2 linked regions of the Schizosaccharomyces pombe genome follow. The gene in region 1 interacts genetically with each later gene. Each region holds a gene or a part of one and is shown in the gene's direction. Other genes may lie near its edges. The genes, in order: urh2 and mag1.

The links.
Region 2: mutations in urh2 (region 1) and mag1 together harm fitness more than expected from each alone (negative genetic interaction), as found in Schizosaccharomyces pombe (one large-scale study listed by BioGRID).

The regions. Positions count from the first base shown.
Region 1 is NC_003424.3:2,335,101-2,352,234, forward strand, and holds urh2 (uridine ribohydrolase), read left to right. Parts: upstream 1-9,420; 5' UTR 9,421-9,714; coding exon 9,715-10,707; 3' UTR 10,708-10,944; downstream 10,945-17,134. Other genes in the region: flippase Neo1, read right to left, coding at 1-262; protein mug68, read left to right, coding at 934-2,481; nas6 (gankyrin), read left to right, coding at 3,075-3,179, 3,318-3,917; rpp40 (Rnase P subunit), read left to right, coding at 4,784-4,876, 4,921-5,068, 5,119-5,175, 5,292-5,850, 5,891-6,041; negative cofactor 2 complex subunit Bur6, read right to left, coding at 11,332-11,931; CENP-W family protein Wip1, read left to right, coding at 12,908-12,988, 13,109-13,222, 13,325-13,351; ARP2/3 actin-organizing complex subunit Arc5, read right to left, coding at 13,452-13,514, 13,605-13,781, 13,908-13,980, 14,025-14,170; mediator complex subunit Med20, read left to right, coding at 15,227-15,240, 15,283-15,371, 15,441-15,919; ilv3 (dihydroxy-acid dehydratase), read right to left, coding at 16,271-17,134.
Region 2 is NC_003424.3:2,943,603-2,960,736, reverse strand, and holds mag1 (DNA-3-methyladenine glycosylase Mag1), read left to right. Parts: upstream 1-5,872; 5' UTR 5,873-5,912; coding exon 5,913-6,599; 3' UTR 6,600-7,009; downstream 7,010-17,134. Other genes in the region: SPOM_SPAPB24D3.07C (uncharacterized protein), read left to right, coding at 1,811-2,713; SPOM_SPAPB24D3.06C (uncharacterized protein), read left to right, coding at 3,723-4,673; SPOM_SPAPB24D3.03 (agmatinase), read right to left, coding at 7,095-8,321; SPOM_SPAPB24D3.02C (amino-acid permease), read left to right, coding at 9,016-10,647; toe3 (transcription factor), read right to left, coding at 11,009-12,793; SPOM_SPAPB2C8.01 (glycoprotein), read right to left, coding at 14,686-17,134. UniProt on the Schizosaccharomyces pombe protein: Hydrolysis of the deoxyribose N-glycosidic bond to excise 3-methyladenine or 7-methyladenine from the damaged DNA polymer formed by alkylation lesions. Can release ethylated and propylated bases from DNA in addition to 3-methyladenine.

The DNA.
Region 1 (17,134 bases):
GCGGTTCAGGTTGCCCTACCTGAATTACCCTAAATGAAGAATCCAACGATATACCTGCATTGCTGGCTTCATGACTGGACATAAGAGATTCAGTTTCGTCTCTATCTAATGAATACAATCCATGGCCATTTGAAACTGAAGACTGGCGACTAGACCTAAACGATTTATTGAGCACTTTAAGTGGTATAGAAGGATTGCTCAGATTTTTATCTTTTATCCACAGTTTCATCTTGGACTGAATTCGATTTAGTCTTGAGTCCATAGTGAACTGCGACACTGGCTAATGGAAAGCAGTGCGCTTTGCAAAATTTGGAACCACACTTTAAATATATAAAAATTTAAAAATTTAAAGATACTAATTCAAATACTTTGGTATTAACCAACCTGTAAGTTTCCCAAATGTTCGGTTCGGTTTAAGGCGGTAACGATAAGCTAAGAGGATATCAGTAACAACAACTAATTTGCGCAGTTATAAAGTTAATAGTTTTTGAGTAATTATAAAAAAAATAATAACAAAGCAAGGATTCTAAAGAAAATAACTTTTCATGGTCATCGGTATTTAGCAATCAAACAAAATTTTAAATTTAGAACTATCAATTAGTATCTGATGACAAGAATGGTAAGCTATTTTTAAGCTTTGTAAAAACAATTGTATTTGGACTATAAAACGTATTTTTATTATGCATGAACAACTAATATGTTTCATTTTATAAACGTAAAGCTTTCTATTGAAAGTTGTTGTTTTGACTTGTGCTGTTGTTTATAAATTGTAAATAAAATAGATTTGATACACCAAATAAATACTAACATAAACGTACAAATAAACACTACATAATTTCAATTCTTATTTTCTATCAATCTTAATAAAGAAACATTTAAACATTTGTTTAAAGTTTCTTCAAATAAATAAATATCTGAGACCTGCTAGAACGAATGAATACGAGAAATATGTTCGACATTCTGAGGAAAGGAATTTTTAAAGATGAAATCACTCAAATTGAAAAAATCCTTTTAAAAATGGAAGATAACACTTACGAATATGTGGATGTTTTTTTGGAGAAATACGAGAGTCAACAAAAACTTTTACTAAAACTGACCAAAGCAATTACTGAATACTTATCCAATTTAAAACCACAACTATCTAAGCAGGAAAACATATATGTCAAACACATTAAAAGTTCGAATGAAGCAAAAACAGAGCTCGAAATTTTCAATTGTTACAAGGAGATATCAATATCAAAGGAGAAAAAAATTAATTCATTGCTAAAACTTGTACGAGAATCAGCCCAAGACTATACAATCAATGAAGAAAACGATATTTTATATCATTCTGAGATATCTGCAAAAAAAAACGCAAGTCCCATGGAATTTGGGGATGCATCTTTTGATTTAGAAAAACAAAGACTTCATTTTGCAAATTCAAATTTACATTCTATTGAAAGTGAACGAAATGAGAGTAGTTTATCTTTGGATTCGGGAGAAAGTGAAAAAAAATCAGAAGAGGATAATGGAAACGGCGAACAAAATTATATTCCTGAGCAGTATGAGCGATTGGATAGTCCAGTGAAAGAAAAAATCATTAATACATGCTGTAAGGGAAAAGCTGAACCCCCCAACTATGAGAGAATAAAACCGAAAGCGAAAAAAGGCAACCAGATGCAGAAAATAAAAATCAGTAAACTTGGCACTGCGGAAACGCAAACAGAAGATGTAATGAATAAGTCTTCACAAAAAGAAAACAACGATATCCTTCGCAAACACAAAACATCAGTTAAATTTCCAACTAATCTCGATGCACTCAATTCTTGCACAATGGAAAACCATGAAATCAATGAATTGACCGCTACAAACAAGATGAATGATGGACCTATAACAAAATGTGCAAGAGAAACTATCAATATAAAGAATTTAAAGACATCGAATTTGGAAAGAAATCAAAATTCTCCGAAAAATAAAAGGACTGTAAGTTATGAGCGGCTGGCAAATTCCTTCTCTTTTAATGCTCTCAACGATTATAATTTAAAAAAAGGTGGAGAAAAGCTTAGGAAGAAAGCAATTAAGAGAGCCCTCAAGGACAGGGGTTCCCAAGATAAGGCATATGGAGGTGTTGTACAGAGTAATTCACGTCAACCAAAAGTTGGTTTTCATGTTAACAATTCATCTTCAGGTCACAATGATAATGAGGGAAATCATTCTCTAATTCTCAGCAGTAAAACGAAATCGCCCCAGTTATTTAACAATGAAAAAAAAGACGAAAGTTACTCAGGTTTCTCGAATACTAACAGTTACGCTATAGAAGAGACTAGCCGGGCTTTAATGGGAACCTCAAAAACCAGAAAACCAGAAAATAAATCGAAGTATTTGATAAAGAACGGTTGGTTTGAAGATTCATTAAACTCGGAAATTTGGAGTGATGCAAATCCTTTGGACTGGAGAAAAACTGATATTCTTGAGGAGAGCACGTCCATCGTTTACAAATAGAGATTGTGGGACACAAACACCGATTGATTGATTTCTATTACAGGCCACATTATTCTAATTGTAAATCGTTTAAGGAAAATATTGCATACAACAGATTTTGGTAAAACTCCTGAGGCCAGTAGAATATAGTTCTTCAAAGTTATGAAATAATTAGTACGTTAAGACATTCTAATTTATTTCAATTGGGCGGTTTGGAAGATGGCTTAAATATACAGCTTTTGATGACTGCAAAACACAGGCAAAACCTCACAAACAAAGGATTTAAGGAATGAGCACATATACAAGCAAGAGACCAACAGTACTTACAAATTCTATCAAGCGGACCAAGATAAATAGTATAGCAAGATAATATGTATTAAAATAACAATTATTAAGGAATTGAAATATAAACAATCCGTACAGTAACAATAATTAGTTTTTGTAATGATACATTGATGTTGGCAATCTGCAGACAAAGGATGCTATGTTAAAAATGGATATAATGAAGTATTTCGTAATTCTCTGTGTCATTAAATGGCGACAGTCTTTCCACTGAAGTAACACAGAACAAGCATATAAAACTACAACAAAATCATATCTAGTCGTTACATAAAATGGTTTATGCAAGTTTAGGTAAAGCAATCGAAGAAAACTGTCCAGAAGAATATGTGGAGCAGGCAATTCAAAATGATCCGAATTCTCTTAATGCGGTAGATGATGTATGTGAAACTAATAATTAATATTGTTATTCTATTGTGAATTCGAAAAAGAAAATGAATATGCATTGACAAGAATAACAAGTGTAACTAAGCTACTAAATGACTCATGTTGTTTTTACTAATCACAAATATTGTTAGGACAAACGTACACCTCTCCATTGGGCCTGCTCTGTTGGTAAAGTTAATACCATTTATTTCTTGTTAAAGCAACCCAATATCAAGCCGGACGAAAAAGATGAGGCAGGATGGACGCCTTTAATGATCTCTATAAATAATCGCTCAGTACCTGATAATGTAATAGAAGAACTAATAAACCGTTCCGACGTTGATCCAACCATAACGACTCGCGGTGGTCAAACATGTTTGCATTATGCCGCTGGAAAAGGTCGTCTTTCTATTGTTCAATTATTATGTGATAAGGCCCCAGAACTTATTAGGAAAAAGGATCTTCAAGGCCAAACACCATTGCATAGAGCCGCAGCTGTTGGAAAGATTCAAGTAGTCAAATACTTAATTTCTCAACGCGCACCCTTGAATACTTCGGATTCATATGGCTTCACACCATTGCATTTCGCATTAGCAGAAGGACATCCAGATGTTGGTGTCGAATTGGTGCGTGCTGGAGCTGATACTTTACGTAAGGATTCTGAAAACCATACTGCTTTGGAGGTTTGCCCTGATCGTATTGTTTGCAATGAATTTTTAGAAGCTTGCAAAGAGCAAAACCTTGAAATTTAGTTCCATATATTACGAGAAATTAATGTTCAAATAAGGTGAGGTTTTAAAACTCATAAGCGACTGCTTTAAATTATACAATTCTCTTAATTTCGTATTAATGACCTTAAAAAAAATGCATGGCGTTTGACGAAAATATAGAAAAGGTGGTTTTGTAGCTTCAATTATTGAAATGAAAATTACAACAAAAGAACCATTGTTAACTTATGTTCTCTTCGTTGTCTGAGTGATGTTTTATACTCAATAATTAAAATTATTACTTAAATAATTAACCTGGTATTTTTTTTACATGGATATATTTATTGTTTTCATTCTCTTTTTCGAAATATTATTTTTAAAATAAAAAAAATAAATAAAAAGGAATAGATAGATAAGCATTTTTAAAAGGAAAATGGTTTGTAAAAAAATATGTTTTTTATTAAATAATCTCGCTACAAGCCAATCTGAAGATGTCGGTATTATTTTCATCGATTTGAACTAATTTATGAATTACCGTCTGCATAACTTTTTCAATGATACTGAGTGAAATACAAAGAACGAATGAAAACATTTAATTATTTTCTTCAGTTCATTACTTCAATATACTTATAAGAGTCATAAATTATATACGAATAAATTTATTTACACTTGAAAAAATTGAAAATTGCCTAAATATAATTGACGATCTATATTGAATTTGATATTGTGCTTGTTGATCTGATATTTTCTAATACAGCTAAGATGAAGTAACAATGAGCTGATGGGTGTATCATCAAAGTCTCCCTGCTAATTCATGAACACTTGTCAGAAGCGCTGTGTCTTTTTTTATATGGAAAGAATAGTTTTGCGTTTCTTTCTGAAAAGTTTATGAATAAAAAGATACGATTAAAATGAACTGTGCTTTTACTAAAGAATTAAAGGACGAGATATATCAAAAAAATTATACTGAGCACGAAATTTTACAGAATGCATATAATGGAAAGGTATGTAGATCCGCTTATATCTTAATCCTAATAATAAAACTTAGTTAGATATTTTGTTGCCAGTAGAAGACGCCTCTGAAGAAGCAATTAGATCAATAACGAAAATAGTGCAAGATCTTAGTTTTTATGAATTCTCTGGCTCACCCGCTCTGCTGTTACATCCCGATTTATATTCAACGTTTATTCATACTGGTAAGAAACTTTCTAGGAACACTTTTTTGTAGCTAATTTTTTCAATATAGGAATTGCAACCATTGTTTCTTCATCCGATAATGATAATAAAATATGTATAAGTCAAGGTGAGTTATTTTACGGTACTGTTCGCTTTTCATATCTCTATAGGATATTATTACCCAGCCAAACAATTTCGGGTATCTTTAAGATTTTGAAATTTTTATTGCTTACAGTTAATAAGGTATTCTATCTGTCACTCTTGACAAAGATAGCTATTTGGTTAGTGGTATTGATGCAAAACCTTCTAGTTCTGAACCTAAGGACACTCTATGGGTAGCAAATATTGACTTAAAGTCTGCATTCTTAAGGCCTCAGTGGAAAGGCTTTGAAAGATTAAAAGCTGCTTTGGGTCGTCTTCCTGGAAAGTGGAGTTTTTATCTTACTTTTCCAACTGAGAAGGTTGATCAGTCTTACCAAAACAACTTGTCTCACTCGCTTCCTGTTCCCATGATTTCGCGAGAAATCAACCTAAAAAAAGGAAAACTAGACCAAGCAAAAATCCCACCGCCACTTGTATCAACTCTTAATAGAAATGAACTCTTTCCATCAAACGGTCCATTAGAGGTTTTGGAAATTCTTTCTTTTTTACGTTGTAATGCAAAATGTGTGCAAAATTCATTTGTTCCTGATCCTTACATTTCACGTTACAAACCATCTTGTGCTGTTACTGACGTTCTTTATCTTTCCATCAAAGGGTTGTTTTCTTCTTCTACTTGTTTAGAACTTTACGAGTTAATAAGGTAATAACTACTTATACGTTTTTAGATGCTAACAGTAAAGGAATATTTCTTGGAATTTTATAGGGGTTGAAAGCTTCAACTCTTTCCGTGACGTTGACAACTCAAGTCAATTACACTCTGGTGATAGTTCTTTGCTGAGTTTCTATGATTCCCGTACTGAGCGAATTCGTTGGACATGGAGATTGAGTTGAATTGTTTTGTCATCTAATGTGTTTTCTGCCAATAAAAATATAGACGTTTTGGAAACACGACCAGTTTAAAAAATATGAATTTATGTTATCTTATTCTATATTCCCAAGTAATTATATTTACATACATATTCCAAAAAATAAAGTCTAGTGTACACATCCTGAATATAATTCAGAAAAATAAGGAAAAAAACCGTATTGTAAGTACTAGTAAACGGGTTCCAGCATTCCTTCTATTATTATTTTAGGTAAAACAGTCAGATATCTTACGTTTCCATCAGTCGAATCAACTTCATCGCCTTGCCATCTCAATTTTTTAAGCAAAAAGTTAGATTCAAAAGCTTTAACGTCAGAAGAAGAAGTCCCCAAAGTTATATGAAGTTGAGGGTTGCAAGTTTTACCATACCAGACGCTGTTTTCATTCATAGTGACTCGAAAACAAATAACTCTATCATCCCATACAAGATGAGTTATCCTAAACGAAATATTCCCCATTTTAGTAGTATTTTTATCGTGCATATGCTGTAAGTATTGTTCCCAAATCCGACTATTTACCGGCTTCTGTGACTCGTGGATCATAGTAATATGAAAGGAATCTTGTAAGGTGTATCTGGAAAAAGCCTCCTGCCATTGCAAATTAGCTATCGTTAAGACTTGAACGAGAGAAGACTCCACTGTCTTCCTGTCAAGCAATACGCCAAAGTATCTTGGCGCTTTTTTAAAACAAGTAGATGAGCCGGTAATCCCTTCGGCTGTGATTTTATTCTTTATCTTTTTTGAGTCATTACCAAAAGTTTTTCTATAAGTCGGGACGTACTCATTAACGGCGTAATTAAGTGCAGCTGCATAGTCGTCATCACTGGGATCATTTGGGATCAATTCTGGTATGTTTTTTTTGAAATAATTTACAATTCGACGTGCGTTTTCCAAGGATCCTATCAAAGGATCCAGTTCTATAATATCATCATAATTAGCATCATGTTTATTTCCTGCAGGATCGAATGGCTTATACTGCTTATAAAAAGTATTCATAATTGCTTTCACCTTATCGACACCCTCTGAAACCTTTATTGATTGGTGCCGATCACCACGTTGAAGTACACGATTTTGAACAAATTCCGGAACTTCCGGTGTATGCTTGAAAGGAAGAGCAACGAATCTGACGCCATCAATTAAAGCCAAGATGTCGGTTTGAAGAGTACTTCTCATGTTGGAAATGTGATTGTTACGATCGGCAAAAACAACAGAATGTCCGTTTCTAAATTCCTCAATAATTGCTTTAGCAAATCTTTTTGGTCCACCTTTTCCTGAAGGAAGATTATCGTTTTGCACTACAGGCCAGCCAAAAAGCTTTTCTAAAATTTTAGCAACCGTAGTTTTACCACAACCAATAGTGGCGATAGGTACAAGTAAGGTGAATTCTTTCCCACAATCATTGTCATTCGAAACGGAAAGATGCATCAGATCTAATTTTGAAAGCACCAAAAACTCATCTCGTAAAGAAATTATACCTTTATTGCTCATATATAATCGTTTAGCATCCTCGTCTTCCTTAAACTTTTTGTCACAGAAAGTAATATATTCAGCCGTTACTTTTTTATATTTTGTGTAACTTGGCTTTTTACCAGATATTAACATTTTGGTGACTTCACGCCATTGACGAAACATGCCATACGGTTCTGGAAATTTATATTTGAAAAAGAAATCATTAGAAGATTGTTGCTCAAGAGATGAATGATCAGAATGACAACGAATAACAAACCCTTCGATTGCCCTGTTATTCCATTTGCCATCTTTAGAGGCATTTTCTAAAAAGGCTTTGAGCTCATGAATGCTATCCATAAAAAATGAAGAAACTTTCATAAATCCCCATTGTTCCGCAAATTCAGCAACTTCACAGGATGATGCAGTAATAAACTGCGGGCAATTCCGATTTAATCCATGCAGATATAGTCCACGAGAATTTCCAGTGTATGGAAGAATGTGCTCTTCAAACTCATCATCACAGAGTTCAGCCACAGCAGTCATGTCTCTACGAAGTAGTTCATGGGCCAGCTCTTGTTTAGTGCGACCAACACTTTGCAAATGTTTTTCAAGCCAACGTTCCCCAACGTTTGCATGAGAGACTGATTGTCCTTCCACAATACCTAAAGAATGCTTGCTAGAAACAATGATCTGTCCGTCTGGCAAAGCTGCAATAAATATGATACAACCATTTTCTTTGACTGTCAATTCATAAGGTCCTTTAGTGTGTTGAGAAAGTGCATCCCAAGTAGTAATAGGGACTTCATCAATATTAAAAAATTTATCGTACCCACGTATAACAATGCGATGTCTTTTACTTTCATAGTCATAGCCAGTAAACAAACCACGCGCGTTTGTAGGTAAAGTAATTCTATGTCCAGATATAGTATCAAAACATTTTTTGCTATTGGACACATTTAAACGAAATGCCTGTTCCCAGATCCTCCAAGAAGTTAAATCATAATTAGATTTGGGAGCTTTGAATGTAACTGATCTAACAGTTGATTTTTTTTCTCCGAATATGCAAACTCTTTGATCACGAGTCTACATAATTCTTGAACCAAATCTTCTGAATTATTAAAATTCAAAACCATAATTTTTTAAGAAAAAATAATAAAGCAAAAGCCTTGAATTCAACGAACTTCCTTTGACTGAATGCTCTACAGAAAAATAAGCAACTATGTATTTTTGGAAGAAATCAATAAAGGAAGAAAAACATAAGCTTTTCTCAGCAGTTGGCCGGAAGAAGCAACTACACTGATTTGAAAAGAGTAGAGCGAAAGACAAAAACTAATTTATTTCTGCTCACAGTTAAGCTTGGTATATGGAAGCAACATTAGTTACGGTAGATTCTATTATGTCTCAGTAAAATCTATTTACAAATTCAAAAATACCTGATAAATCTTGATCTACTAATTAAAGCGAGCACGTATTTATTTCTACTTATCAATAATAAACGGGTTGTTTTTTCATTGATATAATGTTTTGTCTTCTACCTTCTGTGCAAGCTTTAATAAGTTAACAAATTAGCTGAAGTTACAAATCTTTACTTCGTTTTAGCAATAGCATTTTCAAAAGTAAAAATTCCAGCTGTTAAGAATTCCGATAACATTTTACATATGGATGTAACCAACATTATTATTCATTAGCAAACAAAAAATTCGGTTAGTTTTTAATCATGCTAGCTGTTGATAAATGGTTTCAGGAATTAAACGGAAAGTCATTGCAAACACTAACCGTAGCAAATAAATTTCAAATCATAAGTCAAAATAACGTTTTTCTACGTTTTGTGAGCCACTCTCTTGCAGTGCGTTACTCAAATGTATCCAGAACAGCGGAAAATTAAACGAAAATTGATGAAGATAGATTTCAAGCGTCGGCATTTTTGATACATTAATTGTCTACTTACAAGGTCGGTTGAATAGACAATTTCCGCATTAGGGGCTACTAGGCTATCCATCTGTGCAATATTTATTACCATTTTTAAACCACAACACCACATATCTCTTTGCAAGGTTATTAGCCATATATTTTATTGTGTCCTCGTCCAGCAAGAATATTATCTTCGGATGTCCAAAGTAATAAAGTCATAAAAAACCTCATAGCTAGTACTAATCGATTTTTTTTTAAGCTTAGTGATTATTGTGGCACCATGACTAACACAATTGATTCATTCCAAAAAGGCTCCGCATTAGAAAACTATAACATATGGATCGATTGCGATCCTGGACATGACGATGTTGTCGCCTTAACATTGGCTGCTTGCGCTGGACATTGTAAAATTTTGGGTGTTAGTACCGTACATGGTAATACAACGCTAGAATTTACTACCAAAAATGCTTTAGCGGTAATGGAGCTTTTAAATCAAGATGTTGATGTTCATGCTGGCGCAGCGAAGCCCTTGATGCGCGAGTCCGCGTTCGCTACTCACATACATGGTACGAATGGGCTTGCAGGGATTTCATTGCTTCCTGATTATCCCAAAAAGAAGGCTACTCCTGATGCGGTGTTCGCTATGTATACCACTATTTCTAATTATCCAGAGCCTGTCACTCTCGTAGCTACCGGTCCTTTGACAAACATTGCATTGTTATTGGCAACGTACCCAAGCGTTACCGACAACATAGAAAGGTTTATATTTATGGGTGGTAGCACAGGCATTGGAAATATTACTTCTCAAGCAGAATTCAACGTGTATGCTGATCCTGAGGCAGCTAGGCTCGTTTTAGAGACTAAATCACTTATCGGCAAACTATTTATGGTGCCGCTAGATGTCACTCATAAAGTACTTTTAGATGCAAACATTATTCAGTTACTGCGTCAACATAGCAACCCATTTAGTTCCACACTGGTAGAATTGATGACTGTCTTTCAACAAACTTATGAAAATGTCTACGGAATTCGAAACGGTGTTCCCGTTCATGACGTTTGTGCTGTTGCTTTGGCGCTGTGGCCATCTCTGTGGACCTCGCGTTCTATGTATGTGACTGTAAGCTTAGATTCTCTCACTCTTGGTCGCACTGTCTGTGATGTATGGTCGCAACAAAATCAGTATCCGGCTAATGTTCATGTTGTTTTGGAAGCTGATGTTTCATTATTTTGGGAGACGTTTATTGGAGTTATAGACAGGCTCAATTATTTGTAGTATATTTATGACATTATCGACTAGTGTTTTATGTTTATTTTTTACAACGATCAAGTTCTCCCTTCATTTTCAATTTTGAAAGCACTTCAAGCATTCATCATGCCCTCTTATATCATCCATTGGAAATACAAAACCAAATACTTTCTTTTTTACTCAAAGAAGTACGTTTATACTTTTGCATTGCATATAGTTTTATAAAATCTTAGACTATAAAAATATCATTATTTGAATTTAAATACTAACAACAAAGTATGTATAAATAAATGCTTAATTATAAACAAAAGGGTGTACGAGTAAGTGATAGGTTCGTAGAATTGTCAATAGCATCATTTTGGCAAATAAAATCAGTAGACGCCAAGTTGGTCTTTCATAGTACATTAATAAGGCACTTTAAAAAAGCTCAATATGAACAACCAGAACGTATTATATTCTTAAGTCGAAGAAAAGGCTTAAAAATACTAGAATTAATGTGCCAATTTTATAGTCCTATGTACAAGTAGCTTGAGAATATTTTCTGAAAACAAATTCAAGAAAAAAGGGAAGATAAGAATAAATGTAATAGCAAAACAAGAATAAAGTATACAAAGACATTATATTTATGGTCATATAGGGTGGAGAAAGTAGCTACTCATCACCAGACGCGGAAGAGGCTTCACTAGTTGTCTTGTCAGAAAAATTACCATGATCAACAGAGGCTTTCTCCTCGTGATCTGCTTCAGTTTCCTCACCAGTAGGTTCTTCTTTGACAGGAGTTTCTGTGGTAGCTGATTCGTCATCTTTTTCAATTTCCTCTTCTTTAACAGTATTCTTTTTAACTTTTTTAGCGGGAACACTTTCATTATGCTCACCTTCATTAGCTGCTCGACGAGCACGGGGGCGTTTTGTCTTTCTTTCGGCTTTAATGGGCGGAGCATCCGGTACTTTTTCAACAATGTCTTGAAGAAAATCAAACTGTTCAACACTTTGAACAGCATGCTTTAAATGAGAAACGGTAACACGCTTTGCTTGGTGCAATCGCGTCTGTTTGCACGATTCTTGAATTATACTCTGCATGAACAATTCCAACGCTTTCGACATAATAACCGGAGTAACTTGAGCGACCTTTCCAACGTCCTGGTCTGCTTGCATAATCTTTTTTATACGAGCAACAGGAAATCTGCTTTTCCAGTACGTAGCAGGATTTGGTTTAGTTTCACTATCATTATTATTTGTTGGATCACCCATTATAAGAAGCAGAATTAACAAGATAATTCGATATTAAAGTCAATAGTAAGTTGGCGTGTAAATGATTGTTTCGGAAATGAATCGCTTGAAGGAGCTGGTAAGTAAGGTAGTAACGAAAACGTATATTACTACCTCTATTGAGACTGTCTGTCAAGTTTTTAAAAAAATTTTTTTTCTAATTTGTCGAATTTGAGAAGTTAAAGTAAAAATCTTCTAGTGCCTAACAGCGGATCTTAGTATTCTTTATAACAAGGTAGTGGTGAAGGACTCGTTTAAAAGCAGAATTTTATGTAGGTCGCGGAAAGCAATAATTCGGAATCACAAGCGACTAACTTCCAGGAAATATAGCAAAGAAACTCGGTAAATATTAATTTGGTTTTCTTTTAGTCGCCATACTTGCCAAGTATTTTGCTCAATATTCCAAATGAAGGCAATTTAGAGGTTCATAATATGCATACAATCACAGTTTAAATAAGAATAAAATAACAGATTCAGATATACGTGTGTAATCAGAGCAAGCAAAACAAACCAGCAACCAAATTTTTAAATACTAGTAAAAAGTTTTTCTTTTCTTAAAGTAGTAGCGAGTAAATACATGCTTACAAATGAACTCAAAGTATTTAAAAGCTTTCATGCTTAAGATTGCTGCTAATTGATATAATATTCCAACTTGTTTTGACAACAAAGACACATAATTTGCAATGTCAGTGCTTTAATCTTTGTACGTAATAATTACTTTTACTAAGAAAATTTCAATTAATAATATGACATTAAATTTATAAAAAATTGATTTGCAATAGCACCTTTGTAGAATCCTTCGAACTAATGACTCAAAAGGACTCGCACTTTACCTTCTTCGAAGACGACACAACGATTATCACTTTCTATACAGAGCTATCCTTGCAAGATATGATTACTCTCTAATTTTACAAAACTAAACGGGATTAATATTTTTTTTTGCAAGAAACTACTTACTATGAGCTATCCTAAAGCACGCATAAGACGATTTTTTCGTCAGCATTGCCAGCGCAGCCTTGAAAGTTCCGCATTGGATTTGGTATGGAAAGTTATAAATGAAACTAGCTATTTCTCAGTCAGTATCTTTTTGGACGCGCTATTCTAATAAAGATATTCAAATTTTTTATATTGAATGTTTTCAACTAACAGAATTTTCAAGGTATATTTGGATTACTGTCTTTTCTTACAATCCTTACTAAAAGAAGCCAATATTGAAGCGGCTAAGACTGGGGAAAGAAGAGTACAGCCAGAACATGTTCGAAGTATTCAAAGAGTAAGCTAATATTGAATAAACTAGATTTATTATCTTTTCAGCAAAGGCGTAAATCGATTGCACTTTATTTTTTAAAATGGAACATACTTACTAACCATTTAGAAAATTCTAGCTCAATTTAAAGGATAAAAAGAGTCATTATGTGGGAAAGAAGACATAAAACAGAATCATTGATTCAGTTCCATAAGCGACAGAATAGTAGATACCAAAAAGTAAGATAAAGCCATATTTATAGATCGGGTCTACTATTGAGAACACGAACTATACATCCTATACCGGATATTTCCACCACCTACAAAACCGTATTAGTGACCGAATAAAAATGTAAAGCATGAGATAAGCAATGCTAGAGCGTTGGGAAAAGCAATAAACTAAAAGTTACCTTTTCGTGCCAATTAAGTAATACAGACGAGTTGTAGGCTTGAGGATTCGCCAATCCACGATAAATGAAGTTTACAATATTATCAATTTCCTCCGTTGAACATTCTTTTACAAATGCGGGAATGTCAGCAGCTCGTATATTGCTTAATACATCAACAAAAGCATTCAAATATTGAGTCTAAAAAAGTTAAAATTCATTTACACCATAATAAAATGAAATCAAGAAGAATTGTAAATTTAATCAATAAATAAAAACGTAATTGATATAAACCGTCTTTAAGCAGTTTGTACAGTTTGCACATACCCTAACTTCTTGAACATCATTTCCATAAGGAACATATGAGAGTAAGGTTTTCAAACCTTGTAAGGCATTTCCTCTATTTTAATTAATAAAAAAATTGCTTCTTTTAAATAAACATACGTTTGAATGGCAGACCGGGCTTGAGGAATGAGTTGAGAGACGGCTGCTTGGACTTGCTCCGCCGTTTCGTTACGAATTGGAAATATATCTTGCTCTGTTAAAACAGGTTCTGTGATGGAGTCGACATCCAAAGTCCGAAACGTCATTTTATAACTCTATAACTGGTAAGGTAAAGAAAACGATGGAACAGGTTAAGTTTCAGCTGTGTGTAGCTCTAAAGAGGCATCATACAACGGTCGAACGCAAGTCTGTAACTGAAGTTATTATAATTCATAGAGTATATTAATTTAACCAATAAGTTAAGAAAATTCAAAAAAATATATTTATATTTTTTTAATCTTATAACTTTAACTTATAATTTTTGAGCGGAGCTATATAAGTCTGGTAACAGCATTACTAACTTCTTCAGTACTCCATAGACCTCTTTTGTGGATGTTTATTTTTTTTTATTTGTAAATAATCATCTCTACCTTTGGTCTTAGATGTAAAGTTCTGAATAACTTGTAGACAGAAATTGGTTACATATTTTACATTTCTGCCTATGGTGATTCAGAAGAAAATATGTTAGATACAGCCTAGTAATTAGTTGAATAAAGATTAAAAGTAATTTTTTTTTTGCTTCTATCTATTTTCAGTATGTATATTGATGTATGAGTTTATACTTCTATTCGAACAATAACTTTTAAGACTTATTTTGCTGACAGAACTATGTAGTTTCTTGTGTAAAGTTCAAAGTAAAACGAAGAGACACATATGTAACATCCTGGGATTAACAGATTTTTAATTAGTGCTCAAACCAGCCAGTTACATTGTTACGTAGTATTTGACTCTCCAGAAGTTAATTATGAATGTAATTCAGTTAACTTAATTCTCTTCAAGCTTTTAACAATTTGCTCTGGGATTATCATACCCAAAAGCCATATACTTTGCGACTTGGAAAATAATAAAAATGACAAGAGATAAATTAATAAAATTTGAGCTCATATTATGTCTATCTGCTTTTTTTTTTTAATACAGGAACAATGAAAATGAAGGTTTTAAATTAGCCTGTTAGCAATTCTTGCAACCGCCGTACGCATTAAACTCTTCACATCAACATTACAGTAGAAGTAAAAGAACTAATTCGGCCATTTTTCTCAATAATTCGGTATAAACCGATATTCAGATGCATAATTAATTACCATTCATCTTTGTTATAAAATATGCCTGTTCACGGGTAAAAAGCATACCGATTGACTATTTTGCTGATTGATTATAGAGTTATTTATTATTCATCGCCTTCAATGGCGACGTTCCTTTCTCCAGCACAGGATAATCTGGTTAGGACCTACTTTGCACAACATTTAAGTAAGCTGACACTGGTTTGGATTTTATTTCTTATGATTGATGATTTCAAGATCTAACTTTGAATTTCAGAAAAATGGGTAGTTCAGTATAAACTTTACAGAAATGCTGTCACTCCAAAAACTTTAGAATTTTTGAAGCAAAACATTAATCCCAGCATGCTGGCGTGTGTGGATGAAGCGACAATGATTGATGCAGAACCTGAACTTGAGGACATCATTGTGCGAACGAAATTATGGAATTTTCGGCAGTCCTTTACTATTGAAGGTTCAATATATGAAGTAGGGAGCTTTAAAGTGGCTATTGCCAACGTTTTACAAAAGTCCGTTTGGAAGGGTATACTTTTTCATGTAACTTACGATGGTACTGAGTCCGTCGATCTCGCACGCCCTATTATTCAAGAATTCTTTCTTAAATGCTTTTTACAAAATAATAAATCGGTAACCCCTGTCTATGAAAGCTTCTTTAACCAGCCTCGTCATTCTTTGGATTCAAAACTTCTACTACAGTTGTTTAAACAACGCATTGATACCGTTTCACAACGCACATAGAATAAAAAAGTATCAATTTAAATTTTTTCTGTAAATAAATTTCTATCTAACTAACTGTCAAAGTCTTGCTTTATTGTCAGCAGAAAGTTATGGCTCCCTTTCACATTTACAGATACCAATTATGTTTAATAATAAAATAGAAATGCAGGAGTTTGAATAACAACCCATTTTAAACTCGATGCATTTCACTGTACTCCAAAAAGTAATTATTCATTCAAAATTATTCAAATAAACTCTAGATGAGATTATGGAATCAGCATTAAAAGCTTATTAATCAACCTTTACTACCAAAACATTAAACGTCTAAGTTTCCAAAATACTATGCGCGCTTATAAAAGCATTGAATATGCTTTACTCTAAGGAATCTGTAACAGCACCCTTGGAGGCAGTGCTAACGTTGCGAGCATATTTTAAAAGGGTTCCTTGTTGGTACTTCAAAGGAGGTGCCTTCCAAACACTGCGGCGTCTCGCCATCTCCTTCTCATCAACCATCAAATCTAAAGTGTTCTTTACAGCATTGATTTCAATGACATCGCCGTCCTGAACAAGAGCAATAGGGCCTCCAACTTGTGCTTCGGGATCAACGTGTCCAATCAAAAATCCGTGAGAGCCACCACTGAAACGACCGTCAGTCAAAAGTGCAACATCCTTTCCAAGACCAGCTCCCATAATAGCACTTGAAGGCTTTAACATTTCCGGCATACCAGGTCCACCTTTTGGTCCCTCAAAACGAATAATGACGACAGTCTTCTCGCCCTTCTTGAACTCACCACGCTCTAAGGCAGCAATAAAATCGTTTTCGGCATCAAAAACACGAGCTTTGCCGGTGAAGTTCAAGCCCTCTTTGCCAGTAATCTTTGCGACAGAACCTTCAGGGGCTAAAGAACCACGGAGGACACGTAAATGACCCTCGGTCTTGATGGGGTTGCTCAAAGGTCTAATGATCTTTTGACCTTCGGCAAGGTCCTTGAATCCTCGTAGGTTCTCAGCGAGAGTTTTACCAGTAACGGTAATATTAGAACCATCGATGAGACCTTCAGCATGGAGATATTTAAGTACTGAAGGAATACCTCCGATAGCGAACAAATCTTCCATAACGTACTTCCCGCTAGGCTTCATATCGGCAATAAACGGTGTACGGTTACTGACGGCTTGGAAATCATCCAAAGTTAAAGTGATACCAACAGACTTAGCAATTGCGATCAAATGAAGAAC
Region 2 (17,134 bases), 610 kb from region 1:
CGTGTAAATTCTACATTTGTCTAACAGTGTTAAGCAAACATATATCAAATTACAATTTATTACCTCGATATATCTTGTCCTCTGCTAAAAAAATTACTGAAAGTAAATTATTTTCTGAACAATTCCCTATTTATATATAGTAGCCAGTTGTATTAAATTTTTTAAATAAACATTCTGCATTCTAACACAGTGTGTAAAAAAAGGTTGCCGCTATTAAATTTTACTACAGTATAGGACGTTCGGCAACTGTGGTTCTAGGGTGTTCTCGAGAAAGGGGGCGTTTTTAGGCTTTACCCATAGCGGGCCGTTGTATCCAGGACTGACGAATTATATGTGGTAATATATATGTTCGATTACGCTACTATTCATGATAGTACAGTTTACTGATGGTGCAGTATACAGGTTGGTTTTCCAAGCAAGGATGAATTAGAAATGGGTTTGCAAAAATCGTAAATAAAGTAATCAAAACAGTGACCCAAAAAACATGAAGTAAGTATATGGAGTCGATATGTTTTTTTGTAAGATATCATGAAACCATATGTATGGAAATAAACCCCATAGTTTTACAAAATCATTGTATATTTACATAGCACCGTATACCTTGTACACATTACAGTAAAATAATTTCACCAATTCATTCATTACTAGTAATTGTATTAACAAAAGGGTATATAAATAATAATATAGAGGCAACAAGCTAGGAGGTGCAAATAAAAATGTAAGCGTCGATCATATTAAAGAGTTTGTATATTGAATATGGGTATATTTCAAAAAGTATATACATATACAATACAACTAACTTATTACTATGTTTTTGCTGTAATGCGAAAAATGATACTGAAGAATAAATAAGTATACAATGATATAAAATAAAATAAAATCCATTAAAAACCTCCCACCTAAGTTGCCTTGTATGATATAAAAAAAAAGTGGTGAAAAAAATATTTAACAATTAAAAAAAAAAAAAAAAAAAAAAAAAAAAAATTCCAGTAAAAAACACTACAACAATAATTTCTAATAATACAAAAAAGAATTCCAAAATTTTATTTAAACAATTTTTCTTTATACAAAATTCATCTTCTGGGATTCATAGCAAAGATTTATTGTTAAAAAAATAAAAAAATAATAATAAATAAAATAAATAAATAAAAAGAATTTCTAAAGGAAAATGTGATAACCTAAATTTAAAATAAGCAGTCGCCTGTCTAGCCTAACCGGCAGTTCATGGCTTTTGAGAGAAAAAACGATCAATTGAAAAAAAATGAATACTGTTAAAAATAAATCCTGGAAACACAAAGCCTCTTCCAATCCATCCTGTGTTGAAAAATACCAAAAGTTGGCCCTCACGGATATGCAGTTCAAGAACCAGATGATTCTATTTTCGTATGGAATGTGGCCATTGCCCCATGTCTAAGCCTGCAAAAGTTTCACTATTTTTCTAGCGTATGGAAGATAGGTGGACGGCTGAGCAACAATGTTCTTAGAACTGATGCGAATAGTCGGCTGCGGATCACGGAAGAATCATACACAAATTGTGAAAAGTCCGGAAGTTCTGCGGAAACGATATATATAGGAAGGCTGGTCATGATGCTTGCATTGTTCAATTAGGACAAGGAAAAGTATTGCAATTTCGAAATTGCTCAAAAAGTAAAGGGATTTTGCTAACACTTTGGTGGCTAAAAACATCCGTCCCTATTAAACGCAGTCGTTACTAGTTAAACGGTCTTTCTAGACATAATAAGTTTTTTATTTTTATTATTTTAATTTTCGCTTTCTCTCTCTCTCTTTTTTTTTTTTTTCAATCAATTCAATGAAGTCATTCGTTTGGACCTTGTTGGGTGCCCTCTCCTTGGGTTCCCTCACCACCGCTTATGGTGCCAACGCTTCTAACTCAAGTGTTCCCACTCCTGATAACACCTTGGTTGTTAGCTACACCAACACTTCTTGCTACACCAGTGGCCCTCTTTCCCCTGACACCCGTTTCAACAGGACTACTAGGGGTACTTTCTCTAAGGTTCGTGATGCTCTCAAGTTCCGTCTTAATGGTCCTATTCACCACTGGGATATTGCCAATGAACTCTTTGACACCGCTTTAGGTGTCGAGATTATCGATACTCAATACGGTATTAACAATCGTACCTCTCGTGACTGGTGCACTGCTGTCAGCGCTTTGGAGAAGGGTGACTTGATCGAATTCGCTGCTGCCTTCACTGCCTTCGATGATGTTAACCCTACCAAGGAGGTCGTTCCTGACGCTTTGGTTGGTACATTGGCTCTCTGGGCCAAATACAGCTACGAGTACGACTTGACTAGCATTGTTAGCTTGTTCGGAAAGAACTGGACTGTTGATGAACTCGGATGGGGAACCTATATTGCTCATAGCCTCAACGAGATCAGCAGCAACACCACCGGTGCTGCTAATGCCACCCTTTTCATTGACACTCAAACCAAGAGCGACTGCTACAAGTTGGCTAGCACCATCGAGAGCTGGAAGTATGCTCCCCTTTCCGCTTTCCCCAACTATGGTCCCTTCTATATTTATGGACAATGTGTCGCTACTTTCACTTCTGGTTACAGCCCTCTCGTTGAGCCTGCCTTCACCTTTGCAAGTGCTTTGAACACTACCTTGAACTCTTTCCCCAACGGTACTTTGCCCACTCAGACCCAAGTTGTTGGAGACATCGGTGTCAAGTTCCTTCAATACTTTGCTTAAATTCTCTCGTTTTTTGATCCCTATTAATTGACGAAAAAGACGGGTCTTTACGTATGAAACTCTCCTGTTAATGCGATTTGCTGCGAAAAGCTAATCCCTTTAGATAAGTTATCTCAAACACGGTCTTGAAACTCCTGGTTAATTGTAGTCGTTTATCGTCTTACATAATTTATTCTATGTGAAAATAAAAATCACTTTTGTTTAGTTATGTGGTCACTGTTGTGAAAAGGTTTATTGTAATGTATTCTCTCAGTAGTAGTAATTGTAGTGAGTAGATAAACGTTTACTGTATTTTCGTCTAATTGCAATTTTATGATGTTCAGTACAAGATATAACTTACTCAATCTTTTTCGATTGGATACATCATACAAATCAAAATTGACACCACTCAAATCGTTAATTGCCATTGTATGCATCTTTAAACTTGTATTATCGCACATATCCACTTTTCTGCTAGTAATAATGTTATCCAACTTTCATTTAGAGCGATATATCTCTTTCTCATTAATCATTTTACCAAGCTGGGTTTGTGAATTCGTTCCAACTGCGACCATCATTATTTGAAATCCATAGTGGTTTATGGAAAGCTACATAAAGCAAAAGCAAAAGAAGGAATTGCAAAATTCGTACTTTATAGTAGCTGAATGATCTATAAACAATAATTTTTGGAAAATACTAAGCAAATAGTTTCGAACGCCTTAAACTCTTGAATTGATTAACTTTTGTACAATCAACTCCAAGCTTCAATACCTAAATTTACTAATTCAATCCTTCTATATGAGATTTCTATAATCATATCTTAAACTTGATTGTAAACCGGATTGTAATTATATTATAAAGCACGCGATCAAAATAGTGAGCTTAGTTGTTGTTTTGCTGATAATGGATAAGATATAATCCTTGCTCATATCTCGTATTTGAGCATCGTATGAATATCTACTTTGTAAGGTTAGGCGAAAATTATTCAACTTTCAACATCTAAAAATTTGATTCTTTTATTTATTGCACGATGTCAGCCTCGCATCCTGGTATTCTCCATGAGTACACAGAAAGGCTTGTTGCTTTCGAGCTAGTTGGAAAAAGTAACGTTACACTTACATCCAACGTAACTCGATCATTATTGTTATTTGTCGGGGGACTTGGCGATGGTCTTTTGACAGTACCATATGTTCAAGAACTGGTCAATCCATTAGATGAAATTGGTTGGAGTATTGTACAGGTTCAAACTCAGTCCTCGTATATAGGATGGGGAACGGGAAGTTTGAAACGAGATGACGAGGATTTACACAAGGCAGTGGACTATTTTTTGCACATTGGAGGCGCGGACTTTTCTACTCGCAAAATCGTTTTGATGGGACATTCCACGGGATCGCAGAATGTACTATACTATCTTACACAGTCCATTCTTCCAAACTACTTAATCGCCGGAATAGCACAAGCTCCAGTATCGGATAGAGAAGCCGCGTATCAATTTAACGGGAAAGAAAAAACAAAGGAATTGGTTGACTGGGTTAAAGCAGAATATCTTGACAAAGGACTAGGAAATGATGTTTTACCTAGAAGCAAGGTAGAGAATTTTTTTGGTGAAGTTCCGACATCTGCAAATCGATGCATTGACTTGACAGATGTCCGCGGAAATGATGACTTTTTCTCCTCTGACCTGAGCGCCGATGATTTCGCTAAAACTTTTGGTAATCTCAAAGAAATCTCCGGCTCCACAGCACATAGTCAGTTGATACTGCTTATGTCGGAAAGGGACGAGTTCGTCTCGCCATCAACTGATAAAGCACAATTACTGAACCGATTTCGCGAATCAATTCGTCCTACAACTTCTAATAGTTCCTTAAGCGGCATCATACCGGGAGCTACACATAATGTCGGGCCAAAATCTTCACCAGAAGCTTTGAAATGGTTGATAAATCAACTTATAACGGCTTTAAGAAGCTTCATTGATCAATAAAGATTCGTAATACATAGAATATGACTTTAGCGCTAAAAGTCACGTAGAACAGTTTAGATAATTGTGATCCGGATGAAATATTCGACAAAATCTCGCAATGGAGATTTAACAAAAGTAATGTTTTAAATTCAAAAGCATACCCTTAAGCTATCAAAAGCTTCCTCAAAGTTGGAGTTTGATAACTTTTGTGATATTTTTTATCTTTGAAGTTACTTTTGAAATGCTATAAAAGGTATATTGAGAACAATTCCAGTTACTAATCTACTGTTTTACAAATTAAGACTTAATGTTTATCCCATTCCCTTCATAGCGCATTTATCCATTTTATACGTGTTAAGATTATATAACAATATTCATCTCCATACTTCTGTCATTGTAAATTAAGGCGTATAGTTACTTCAATTGTATTATGAAGACAACTGCAAAGCTTCTTTATGTTCAACGTCAATGCTAATTAGAGAAAGTAAGCTTAGTAAGGTGGATGAATAATTCTTAAAACACTATGCTTTCTTTATAGCTATTCCATCGTTTTATCCATTTTATGCCTTATTGAACGCCCAATATTTCTTTAATCTGTCATATACTCTAAGGTCGAAGAGTTGTTACTTGTTTAACGGAAGTGGTTAGTTTCCTCTGACTCTCCTTTACAACATTTTACATCTATAAAAGATCTTTGATACTAACTAATGGAAAAAGATATTATATAAATTGATCGTTTCCACCATATTGTTTTCACTGTCCAAGACGTAGAAGCCACCTGTGAGTTCTATGAGCGCACATTAGGAATGTCGGTTATCGCATTTGGAAACAATCGCAAGGCACTCGGTTTCGGTCATAAAAAATCAACTTGCATCAAAAGGGTAATGAGATTGACCCAAAATCACACATACTGACTCCTGGGTCAAATGATATTTGCCTAATAGCTAAAACACCCTTAGAGCAAGTCATTGCTCACTTAAAAAAGCAAAATGTTCTCATAGAAGAAGGTCCTATTACAAGGGCTGGAGCTGAAGGAGTTATCCTCTCTATTTATTTTCGCGATCCAGATGAAAATTTAATTGAAGTTTCAAATTACATCTAAGAATGTTGAATTTGCTTCAAGATTCCTTTTTTTTAGCTTAGGACTTGCTTACATAAATAACGAATTGCAGTGCAATTCCTAAGGAATGAAAACCCTTACCGTTTAGTCAAAAGCACATAATGAGTGATAAATTTTTGATCAATTGAATCTTTGCTATTATGACTTTGGACATTGAAGAGAAAGAAGAGATAGTCACTTCACTCACAAAAGCAGAAATCCATCTTTCTGGATTGGATGAGAATTGGAAACGGCTCGTGAAGCTCGTTGGTAATTATCGACCCAATCGAAGTATGGAGAAAAAAGAGCCTTATGAAGAATTAATTCGTGCGGTAGCATCTCAACAATTGCATAGTAAAGCTGCTAACGCAATTTTCAATCGCTTTAAAAGTATTTCTAACAATGGCCAATTTCCAACACCAGAGGAAATTCGTGATATGGATTTTGAAATAATGCGTGCCTGTGGATTTTCAGCTCGTAAAATTGATTCATTAAAAAGCATTGCTGAGGCAACAATCAGCGGTTTGATTCCTACTAAAGAAGAAGCTGAAAGGCTCTCAAATGAAGAATTGATAGAACGACTTACTCAGATTAAAGGAATCGGAAGATGGACAGTAGAAATGTTACTCATCTTTTCGTTGAATCGTGATGATGTTATGCCAGCTGACGATTTGAGTATTCGTAATGGATACCGATATCTACACCGATTACCAAAAATTCCAACCAAGATGTATGTTCTTAAGCATAGTGAAATATGTGCACCTTTTCGTACTGCAGCAGCATGGTATCTCTGGAAAACGTCAAAACTTGCCGATTATACAAAGCCTGTTAGGCCGAAGAAACACTGAAGGACAGATGTATTATATATTTAAAAGTAAAAAGTTGAATTCGATAAGTTTATTCCTGGTTGGTCTTTTACATTTTATGTACGCTTCTTTTTATTTTTGGTTTACCAATTTATAGTATCTTTTCAATCATTTCTGAATAGAATGTCTACGTCCACTCAGACGAAGCATTTTCGTCACATTACGCTTATATAAAAGAAGTGATTTTTTGGTGAATGATGGCAAAAATAACAAAAGGGAGATGAGATGTTTTAATGGGTTCATTTGCAAATATTTACAAAACACTCTTGGGTGGTTAAGAAAACCCGTTTCTGCTACATTTGTCTTTTACTTTATGTGATACAAGATAGATGACGCTCAGCTGTCTCTAACGATATACTTGCGTATGATATGTTAATAATATAATGAATAATGATTTTTTTTGAACATGCTCATTTCTGTATCTGTATCTATGATGTCGATATAAATATTGAATATTAAATAAACCAGTTATTTCAATTATTTATGTATTGGCATGTAACGAGATAAATCAGCCTCTTTTACCAAAGGATATTTCACCATCATAGATACAATGTCAAATAACAATTGCGCACCAGCCAAGGATGTTATTTCTGCAACATCGTAAGCGGGAGCTACTTCGACAAGGTCAGCGCCTACGAATTTCAGACCTTGCAAACCACGTAAAATTGCTCTCATTTCTCTAGATGACCAACCGCCAGTTTCAGGAGTACCCGTAGCGGGTGCAAATGCAGGATCAAGCACATCAATATCAATGGATAAATATACCAAATTATCACCAACTCTGTCACGAATCTTTTTGACGATACCATCAATCCCCAAATCATCAATTTCACGAGCCTCAATGATTTTGAAACCACAATCAACATCATCATCGTAGTCAGAGAAACTAGAGATAGGAGTACGAATGCCAGCATGAATGTTGGCATCTTTGCTCATAATACCTTCTTGACTAGCAAAGTAGAAATAAGAACCATGGTTTATTCCATCTGCTTCATCGCCATCGCCAATCAATCCAGGAGCCCACGTGTCTAAGTGGCTATCGAAATGAATAACTGAAATAGGTTGTCCGTAAACACGATGCAAAGCTCGTAAGATGGGAAGGACAATGGTATGGTCACCACCGAGTGAAAGGACTCGAGGAAGCACAGTATCATTTTTTGCAAATCCATCATGGTCAGTAAAACTGGAGGGCTTTCGAGCTATTAGCTGGAAATATGCACTTTCTAACTGATCCATAGCTTTAAGAATATCATACGTGGTGACTGGAATATCTCCACAATCCACAAGCTTTGCCCATGATTTGAAAGGATTGATTTCAAGAGGTACATTCACTGCACCGTATTTAGTATTTATGCGTCGAGATCCTTCACGCAAACTGCTTGGACCAAATCGAGCACCAGGGCGGTAAGAAGTGCCTGTATCGAAAGGCATTCCTATAAAGGCAATATCAAAGTCCTCTGACCTTTTACTCAAACATTCAACATTCTCCAAACGACCAAACGTCGCAATCCCTGAATACATAGGTTCGACTATACTTGAGAATTCTACTTCCTCATAGTTACTAGGTACAGCATAGAATGGTGATTGTTTTTCCTTTACGAAAACTGGATTCTTCTCCTGAAAGCCCAAGCCCATCCTCCCAGCTTCTCCAAAGCCAGAAAGTAGCAGAAAAACTCCCCATGTAAACCATTCAACACTTTTCATAATTTCTTGTAGCTACGGTTCTAAGACAGTGAAACTGGCCTTTATATACTTTCAAATTTAGGGCTAATACAAGCCCATCATATCAAAAATCTACTAATCGTATAACTCATTTTATGGCGAATATCGGCGCCTGTATTGCAGAAGTACTGTATAACGGAGTCCATGGAGAAAAATGGCCGATAAATTTTACTGCAAGCATAGGGGGGTGGTTAGGAAAATAAGCTATCGATAGGTTTGGCGGAAATCTAAAGCCTTATTGTTTCTTATTTCATAGAGATGAACCTCGACAAGATAAATGAAAAGGGTAATAGCTTATTGAAATCTCTTATCCTATCCAGAATTTAAATAGAACTTACTTAATCAATAGATTAAGCAGTACATTAGAAAGATGATCATCATCTTAATTAGCAATATAAAAACGGGCTTCTACGTTCAATTGTCTCAGGAAATTTTTTAGGAAATCGTATACTTAATCAAGAGTTTAATCATTTGGCTTTTTGCTATTTTGACTCAATATCGCTATCCCATTTATCTGCTTACTGCCTTCTCACTACCTTTTGCTGTGACCAATTTTTGTTTTTAATATTGGTATTCAATTGGAGTTATTGCCTCGTGTGTATTCAACTGGGGAATCTTTCGTGTTCTGCACTTTGTATTGTTTGGTTTTATATATCGTTAGTTGTGTCTAGGAAAGATGGATGAAACAATTGGGATGAAGAAAGAATTTCACGATATCTCTGTTGGGGACATAGAGGTTGGTGAGTCTGCCCCCGTTACAGAAGACGATAAGATGCTATTGAACCTTGGTTATAAGCAAGAGTTTAAACGAGAATTTTCCCTACTCGCCGTGTTTGGTCAGTCCTTTGGATCCATGGGCCTGTGTCCTTCTCTCGTGGGCTCCATGGCCTTTAGTATGAATTGTGGCGCCGGAGGTATGGTTTGGTCTTGGTTTGTGGGTGCTACTTGTTTACTTCCAATTGCTTTTGCTTTGAGCGAGTTGGCATCATCAATGCCCACTTCTGGCAGTTTATATTTTTGGACGGCTTATCTCTCTCCTCCAAAGTACCGTGCCTTCTTAAGTTGGTTCCTGGGATATGTACTTGCACTCGCATATTCTACAGGATTTGCCTCTACTATCTATGCTGCTGCGGGTCTTGTTCAAGCAACAGCGTCTGTTGCCAATCCCTCGTATGCTCCGACTAAATATGAAGAGTACGGTATCTATGTCGCTTTAAGTTTTGCCTGTTCAGCTTTGATTGTTCTTCCAACAAAGTTCCTTGCTCGTTTCAGCAGTTTTAATGTGGTGTTTCAAATATGCACGATTCTTATATTTATTATCAGTTTAGCAGCATCATCAACTTCCGAGACTAGAAACACTGGGAGCTATATTTTTGGAAATTTCGAAAATTATTCTGGATGGACTAACATGGGTTGGTCCTTCATCCTTTGCTTCACAACCCCCGTTTGGGTTTTGTCAGGCTTTGAATCGTGTGCTACTATTGTTGAAGAGGCCAAAAATGCTAGCAAAGCAGCACCCATTGCAATTATTTCAAGTCTTACGGTATCTCTTTTTATGGGATTTTGCATTATGATCACTATAGCAGGCACAATGGGTCACGACTTTAGTTCTATTCTAAACACTCCCTACGGAGAACCAGTTTCTCAGGTGCTTTATAATAATCTTGGCAAAAGGGGTGCAGTTGGCGTGTCAGCTGTTTTGATAATAGCTCTTTGTTTTAATTGCTCTGCGTTATGCCTGGCTTCTTCTAGAGAAATTTTTGCTTTCGCTAGAGACAAGGGTCTTCCTGGTAGTTGGATATTCCGTAAGCTAACTCCTGGCGGCATTCCACTCAATGCGATTCTTCTTGTCAATCTCTATACCATTATTGTTGGCTTGCTCATGTTGGTTAACGTGACAGCCATCAGCTCTATCTTTAATTTAGCTATCATCGCATTTTTTATTTCATATTCTTTACCTTTAGTATGCCGTTTGTTGTTTAATCGGCTGAACCCTGGAAAGTTTTATTGCGGGAAATTTAGCAAGCCTATTTCAATTGTAGCCGTGGCTTGGTTATGGTTCATGGCGCTTATGCTTCTTTTCCCTAGTTACCAAAATCCGAATAAAGTGGAAATGAATTGGGCCATTGTAGTGCTGGGGTTCACAGTCTTTTTCTGCGTAGGATATTATTATCTACCAAAATACGGAGGTAAAACTTTTTTCAAAGGTCCTGTTAAAACAGTTGATGAGAATGTTACTGAAGGTGTTACTGTGGATTTTCAGGCAGATCATGTGTCCAAAGAAGATGATGGCAAGTCTTATAATTAGCATATTGTATATTAGTTTTGTGTAATAATTATTATGATATTGATTAATCGATGAATAAATATGTGAAAGACTTAGGTACCAATTTTCCTCGATTAAACTATATATATATATATATCTCTGTCATATGGTAATATTATAAACAAGCGTAGCTGAATTCAAAAGCAGTCCGCTATAAAACAGCTAAGTTTTTAAAAGAACATTGCTTCACCTTTTAAAATTCAACCCAGTTATAATATTTTTTAAAAATTTCTACTATATAGCAATCAACACCGAGTTAAACTATAATATACAATTAGGACTTAAAGATGAAGAAGATATTTACCCCATATTCCAAAAAAATGTTTAAGCGCTTTTGACTAACTCACGTCAAAAAGCTCGCAAAATCAAAAGCATCAGCCATAAATGCTGGCTGTACAGCGAAATAATTTTCGGCAGCATGTATAAAATTTTCAGTAACAGATGCAAGTTTTTCAGCAAGGTCTCCACCAATGTCTCTTAATTTAACAAAGAATCTGTTAACAGAATACATCCGATTAAGATCTTCAAAAGCAATGTCGGTGCTCGGTTCTTTGCCATTAACAATATTAGAAAAAAGGACAAGAAAGGGAGTAAATGGACAGTACAAGAATACCCATAAATAGCAAACATTCTTCGCAATAGGAATGATAAAAAAGAATTTAAGCACATTGATAGCACGGCGAGCTGTGTCGAGACAAATATTTGCTCCTTCTACGCTCTCATTTAGACGATGCAAAAAAATTAAGGTATTACAGTAAGATAAATAAACTTCAATACAAGCCGAGAAGAGCCTTTGCTTTTCAAAATCGAGCTCTTCGTAAATTTGTGCGTTCTCAGTCAACGCAATAAAATACTGCCTCAATTCAATAGGTAGTGCACGTTCCCAACAAAGTAGCTTCTCATGAATTTGCCAAATTGCCTTTTCTCTGTTCCTTGCATTTGAAGTATTTGTGCGGCTGTATACTTTTGTTCTGACCTCGTTCTTGAGGATAGTCAAAGAAACTTCTGAGCTGAAAATTAGATCGCCAGTTGGCATTTCTGAAAAGTAACGGCCGTATTCATAATTTGGATGCTCGCAATCAATGTCCATATCACTTAAAACAGATGGAGTTCCAAACACCAATGAAGTTGTAATCTCAAATATATAACAAATCCAGAAGACGCGTCTTCGTAATTCTGCATCTTTGTTGCTAAAATCAGCGTTGGCGCTCTCCCTATGCAAATTCAAGTCTCTGATCATGAGACAAGCTTGCCCACAAAGAGCTTTGCACAATGTGTGCAAAGAAACGTGGGCAGCAAATTGAATCATGATAAGTAAAGCCTGGATTTTTTCAAGCTGAGGTGTAAGAAAAAAACCCGGCTTCTGGATCAAATACCAGGAGGTGGAGAAAAATGATTCAGCAAGTTTTTGATCCTTACCAGCTTTACTTCGTGAAGCTGCTAGGGCCAAAACCGAATAAAAGGAAACAAGCCATGCCCCTTTAACTTGATTCCTGTCTCGGTACAAACACTCATATTCATCCATGAAGTCTTTCTCATAAAATACTGGCCACCAACAATTGATATATCGGAAGTACCACTGTACGTTTTCAAAAGCCCATTCTTTATCCGGAATATCTTTGAAAGCAGCATCGAAATTTGGAAATGTGCTAGAGAATAAGTCGTCAAAAGAGGTCTTTTGAGATGGCAACTCAAATCGACGGCTGTACTCTTTTAACTTCGTATTCACAAGGGAATTTGCATCTCGAATCTGCATCGCTAAAGAAGGGAAATCCTTTCGTTCAGTCCTATCTAAAGGTTCCGATGAATTTTTTAGCAAACTTAAAATCAGGTCCAACTTTTCCTCAACCTTGAATATACGATTGCTAAGAGAAGTAATATCGGAATTTAGCATTGCTGATCCATTTTCGATCGACGGACTTGGACTCAAACTGGGAATTGCTGACTCCAAAACTGGGTTCCCATTCTTTTTTTTCGTGGCAGAATAACTACGTTTCAGACGTTTTGAGTAATGACATTCTTCTTGGTACACTATGCAATTTTGACAGCTAGGTAGTTCGCGATTGCAGCGAATCTTTTTGCGTCGACAAAGTTCACATGCCTTACTAGCCTTTTCCACAGAAGTCATTTGCCCTAACGAAAAGTAATTTACATTTAAAATTTAATTTTTCTCTCGATTGATCTAAACGGAAATGCAAAGTAATTTGGCTGTGAAGTATTGGCTCAAACAAGCAGATAATTCAGGCAAAATGAGCAGCCCTTCCACGGACAACTGCGCTTTACAATTTTTAACGATAATGTGAGCGATCGAATGTGACTTAGTACGGTATTTGCCGTTTATTTCGAAATCTGGTGAATATACTTAAGGAAGGTGATCTTGGAAGTATCAGCGCCCTTTTTGTACTATATAAATCTCCGGATACCAATTACAGGCGACTATTGTAAAAACAGGAAAAATAATCGAGTCGTTGCAGAAGGTATATAGTAGTAGCTTGTGTTTGAGTATGTGTTTCCTTTAAATTAAACTCGGCTGTTCTCTGTTTACCACCACCTATAAGAACCATATAAGATTTATTAGTGCGACAGACAATAAATAACAACTAGAAGAACAATTGTAATTAAATTCTATAATTCCAAGATACACATTAAGATGAAACCAGTAGTAATTTTGTAGCAATTTGCTTTTTCTTACCATATAATATCGGTTTTCCTCATTTACCTGATCTATCTAAATATCCGCGGACTTTACTTTCGGACTTATCATAGAAAACTCCATAAACCAGAAAGCAACTCTCTTTAGTGCCTTGAGTTCCTTTTTATTTAAAAAAAAATCTTTTCCCTTATTTTCAATGCTAATACAGATGAAAATTTTCACAAAAAAATCAGTTTTTAGATCTGATAGCCCTAATTGCGTTTCATTACAGTTGACGATAGAAAACGCAAGTTAATGAATATTTTAAATAGTAAAACTTTTAGAAACTGTACAGATTTGAATAGTTTAAATATTGTGTCAAATATTAGCAAGGAATTTACTCTTATAAAGATCAATATTGAAGTAATAATTAGCACGGTAAAACAAAACAGTAGGGCAAAGTTAACGAAATTCGTTCATTTCTTGATTCCTTGTTTTTCTTCGACATAGAAGAAAGGCACGACGTGTATTTGTACTGATAAATTTAAGTTCATTAAGCATTGATAAAGTTGTGCTATTCTTTCATACCATATCTATAGAGGAACAAGTCAAACCCCTTGGACAAAGCACAGATATTTTTATTGAAGCTAGAGCCTTTTCTACAATTGCATTGTATTCATTCATTCAAAAATGTCACTAAAACAATTCTCAGAAACTGTTTTAAAAATCGTTAAATAATGTACCTAAGATTAGTACTGTCTTGAGTTTTTCGAGTTACAACATTTAGACTCGCTGTTTTCTTGGACATTGACTTTAGACATCTCATTTTACTAGCCAATTGTAATTCGTCAAATTTGATTTCATAATACAGTTACATTAAATTTTGAAGAAATTATAAACTGTGCTTCTATGCATTGTAATCAGTATCATTGTGGATTAGGCCTGGAGCTGCAATGATGAAGACTAATCTAGTTAAAAAATTTCATAAGATTATTTCTTTTCAATATCTATTATTTAATATCACTATCACTTACCTTCCTTGCTATACTTGGTTTCCCATTTTGTATAGTTGGTATTACAGCAGGGAAGCATATATGGTTTAATGGTGTAACAATAATAAGTATGAATAATTCATTTATTCATAAACTACAGAAAAACTTGAACAAACAGACGTCAAATGTAAAAAGATTTGGGTTTCATCTGTAATAAGATTATCTTGTCTATAAATACTTTATGAATGAATTATCCACCGTACTCTCTAGTTTTACAAAAAAAAAATTATAAATATAATAGAATATGATCATTAAAACAAAACCAAAAATTTACCAGATGTCGAGTTTTTATATTGGCAACTTGACACTTTGCACAATGTCATGATACCAAAAGGACTAGTTATCAATACCACCATTACCAAGACCAAATGGTAAGAAGCTTTGAGTGCAAGTAGCTGTGTAAGCATAGGATGTTGCAGCATAAGTGTCAGTGGAAGAAGAGAAGTCAAAGTTAAAGCCTCCCTTTCCACCTCCATTAGCAACGATAAGTCTTATGGGCAGGAAGGATCCTTGGGTTAAGGTTCCCATACTAAATGAGCCCATTCCAGTTTGACCGGTGGTGACATGCCAATAAGCGTAGGCATCATAATTCGTGTTGGACCATCCTGAAATAGCCTTATCGCCAAACCAACCGTAAAATACATCATCAACGTTATAAACATTGAGTTCATATGTATCTGTGTAAGGAACTCTAAAGAAGAATTGATAAACAATAGCTTTGCAATTGCACCTTGTGCTCTCCATGGCAGTCGCATCCGGGGGATAATCAGGAAGATAGTAAGAAGAAGTCCATTCGGGCAAAGCGGCAGTAGAACTCAATACACCTGTGAACAAAGGAGACGATTGGTCCAAAGAGCTAGATCCAAAATAGGCAGGCTGTGTGAAAGCAGCGACGTCTGTATTACCCGAACTAACACAAAATTTACTCTTCGATGCTGAAATATCATAGTTATAAACGGCGTACTGCAGGCCGCGCACACCACTACAAACAGCAGTGGGAATAACAACGACGGTAGAAACTGGAGTACTAGAGCTACTATAAGTAATAGTGGTAGCAACAGTACCCGTATAAATAGTCGTAGGAGCGGGGAGAATTACCTCCACAGTACCTGGAATAGTTCCACTTCCAACAGCAAGAGTCGTAGTGAAAGATTCACTACCACTATAGATAGTTGAAGTAACAGTTGAACCAGAAGGCTCAATTACCTCCACGTTGCCGGATACGGAACCACTAGCTTGAGCGATAGTAGTAGTAAAAAACTGAGAACCGGAAGTGAGGGTACCGGTAACAGTTCCAGCAGCAGGTTCAACTACTTCAACAGTTCCAGTAACAGATCCACTTGCATCAGCAAGAACAGTAGTGTACTCTACGCTACCAGAATAGATAGTAGTGGTGACACTTCCAGCTTCTGGGTCTACTACTTCAACAGTTCCGGGGACAGATTCGGAAGCAGAAGCAAGAGTTGTAGTATATACCTCGCTACCAGAGTAAACAGTAGTGGTGACAGTTCCTGCAGCCGGTTCAACAACTTCAACAGTCCCAGTAACAGATCCACTTGCATCAGCAAGAACAGTAGTGTACTCTACGCTACCAGAATAGATAGTAGTGGTGACACTTCCAGCTTCTGGGTCTACTACTTCAACAGTTCCGGGGACAGATTCGGAAGCAGAAGCGAGAGTTGTAGTATATACCTCGCTACCAGAATAGACAGTAGTAGTAACGGTTCCTGCAGCGGGTTCAATTACTTCAACGGTGCCTGAAACAGTACCACTGGCTGTAGCAAGTGTGGTAGTGTACTCTTGAGTACCAGAGTAAACAGTAGTAGTAACGGTTCCTGCAGCGGGTTCAATTACTTCAACGGTGCCTGAAACAGTACCACTGGCTGTAGCAAGCGTTGTGGTGTACTCTTGAGTACCAGAATAGACAGTACTAGTAACGGTTCCTGCAGCAGGTTCAATTACTTCAACGGTACCTGAAACAGTACCACTGGCTGTAGCAAGCGTTGTGGTGTACTCTTGAGTGCCAGAATATACAGTAGTAGTGACGGTTCCTGCAGCAGGTTCAATTACTTCAACGGTACCTGAAACAGTACCACTGGCTGTAGCAAGTGTGGTAGTGTACTCTTGAGTGCCAGAATATACAGTAGTAGTGACAGTTCCAGCTTCAGGCTCAACTACCTCAACAGTGCCAGGAACAGTATCAGTTGCGGAAGCAAGCGTTGTGTTAAATGGTGTAGTTCCAGAGTAAATTGTAGTAGTAACAGTTCCAGCTGCTGTATCCACTACTTCAACAGTGCCTGAAACAGTACCACTAGCTGTAGCAAGCGTTGTGGTGTACTCTTGAGTACCAGAATAGACAGTAGTAGTGACAGTTCCAGCTTCAGGCTCAACTACCTCAACAGTGCCAGGAACAGTATCAGTTGCGGAAGCAAGTGTTGTGTTGAATGGTGTAGTTCCAGAGTAAATTGTAGTAGTAACAGTTCCAGCTGCTGTATCCACTACTTCAACAGTGCCTGAAACAGTACCACTAGCTGTAGCAAGCGTTGTGGTGTACTCTTGAGTGCCAGAATATACAGTAGTAGTGACAGTTCCAGCTTCAGGCTCAACTACCTCAACAGTGCCAGGAACAGTATCAGTTGCGGAAGCAAGTGTTGTGTTGAATGGTGTAGTTCCAGAGTAAATTGTAGTAGTAACAGTTCCAGCTGCTGTATCCACTACTTCAACAGTGCCTGAAACAGTACCACTGGCTGTAGCAAGTGTGGTAGTGTACTCTTGAGTACCAGAA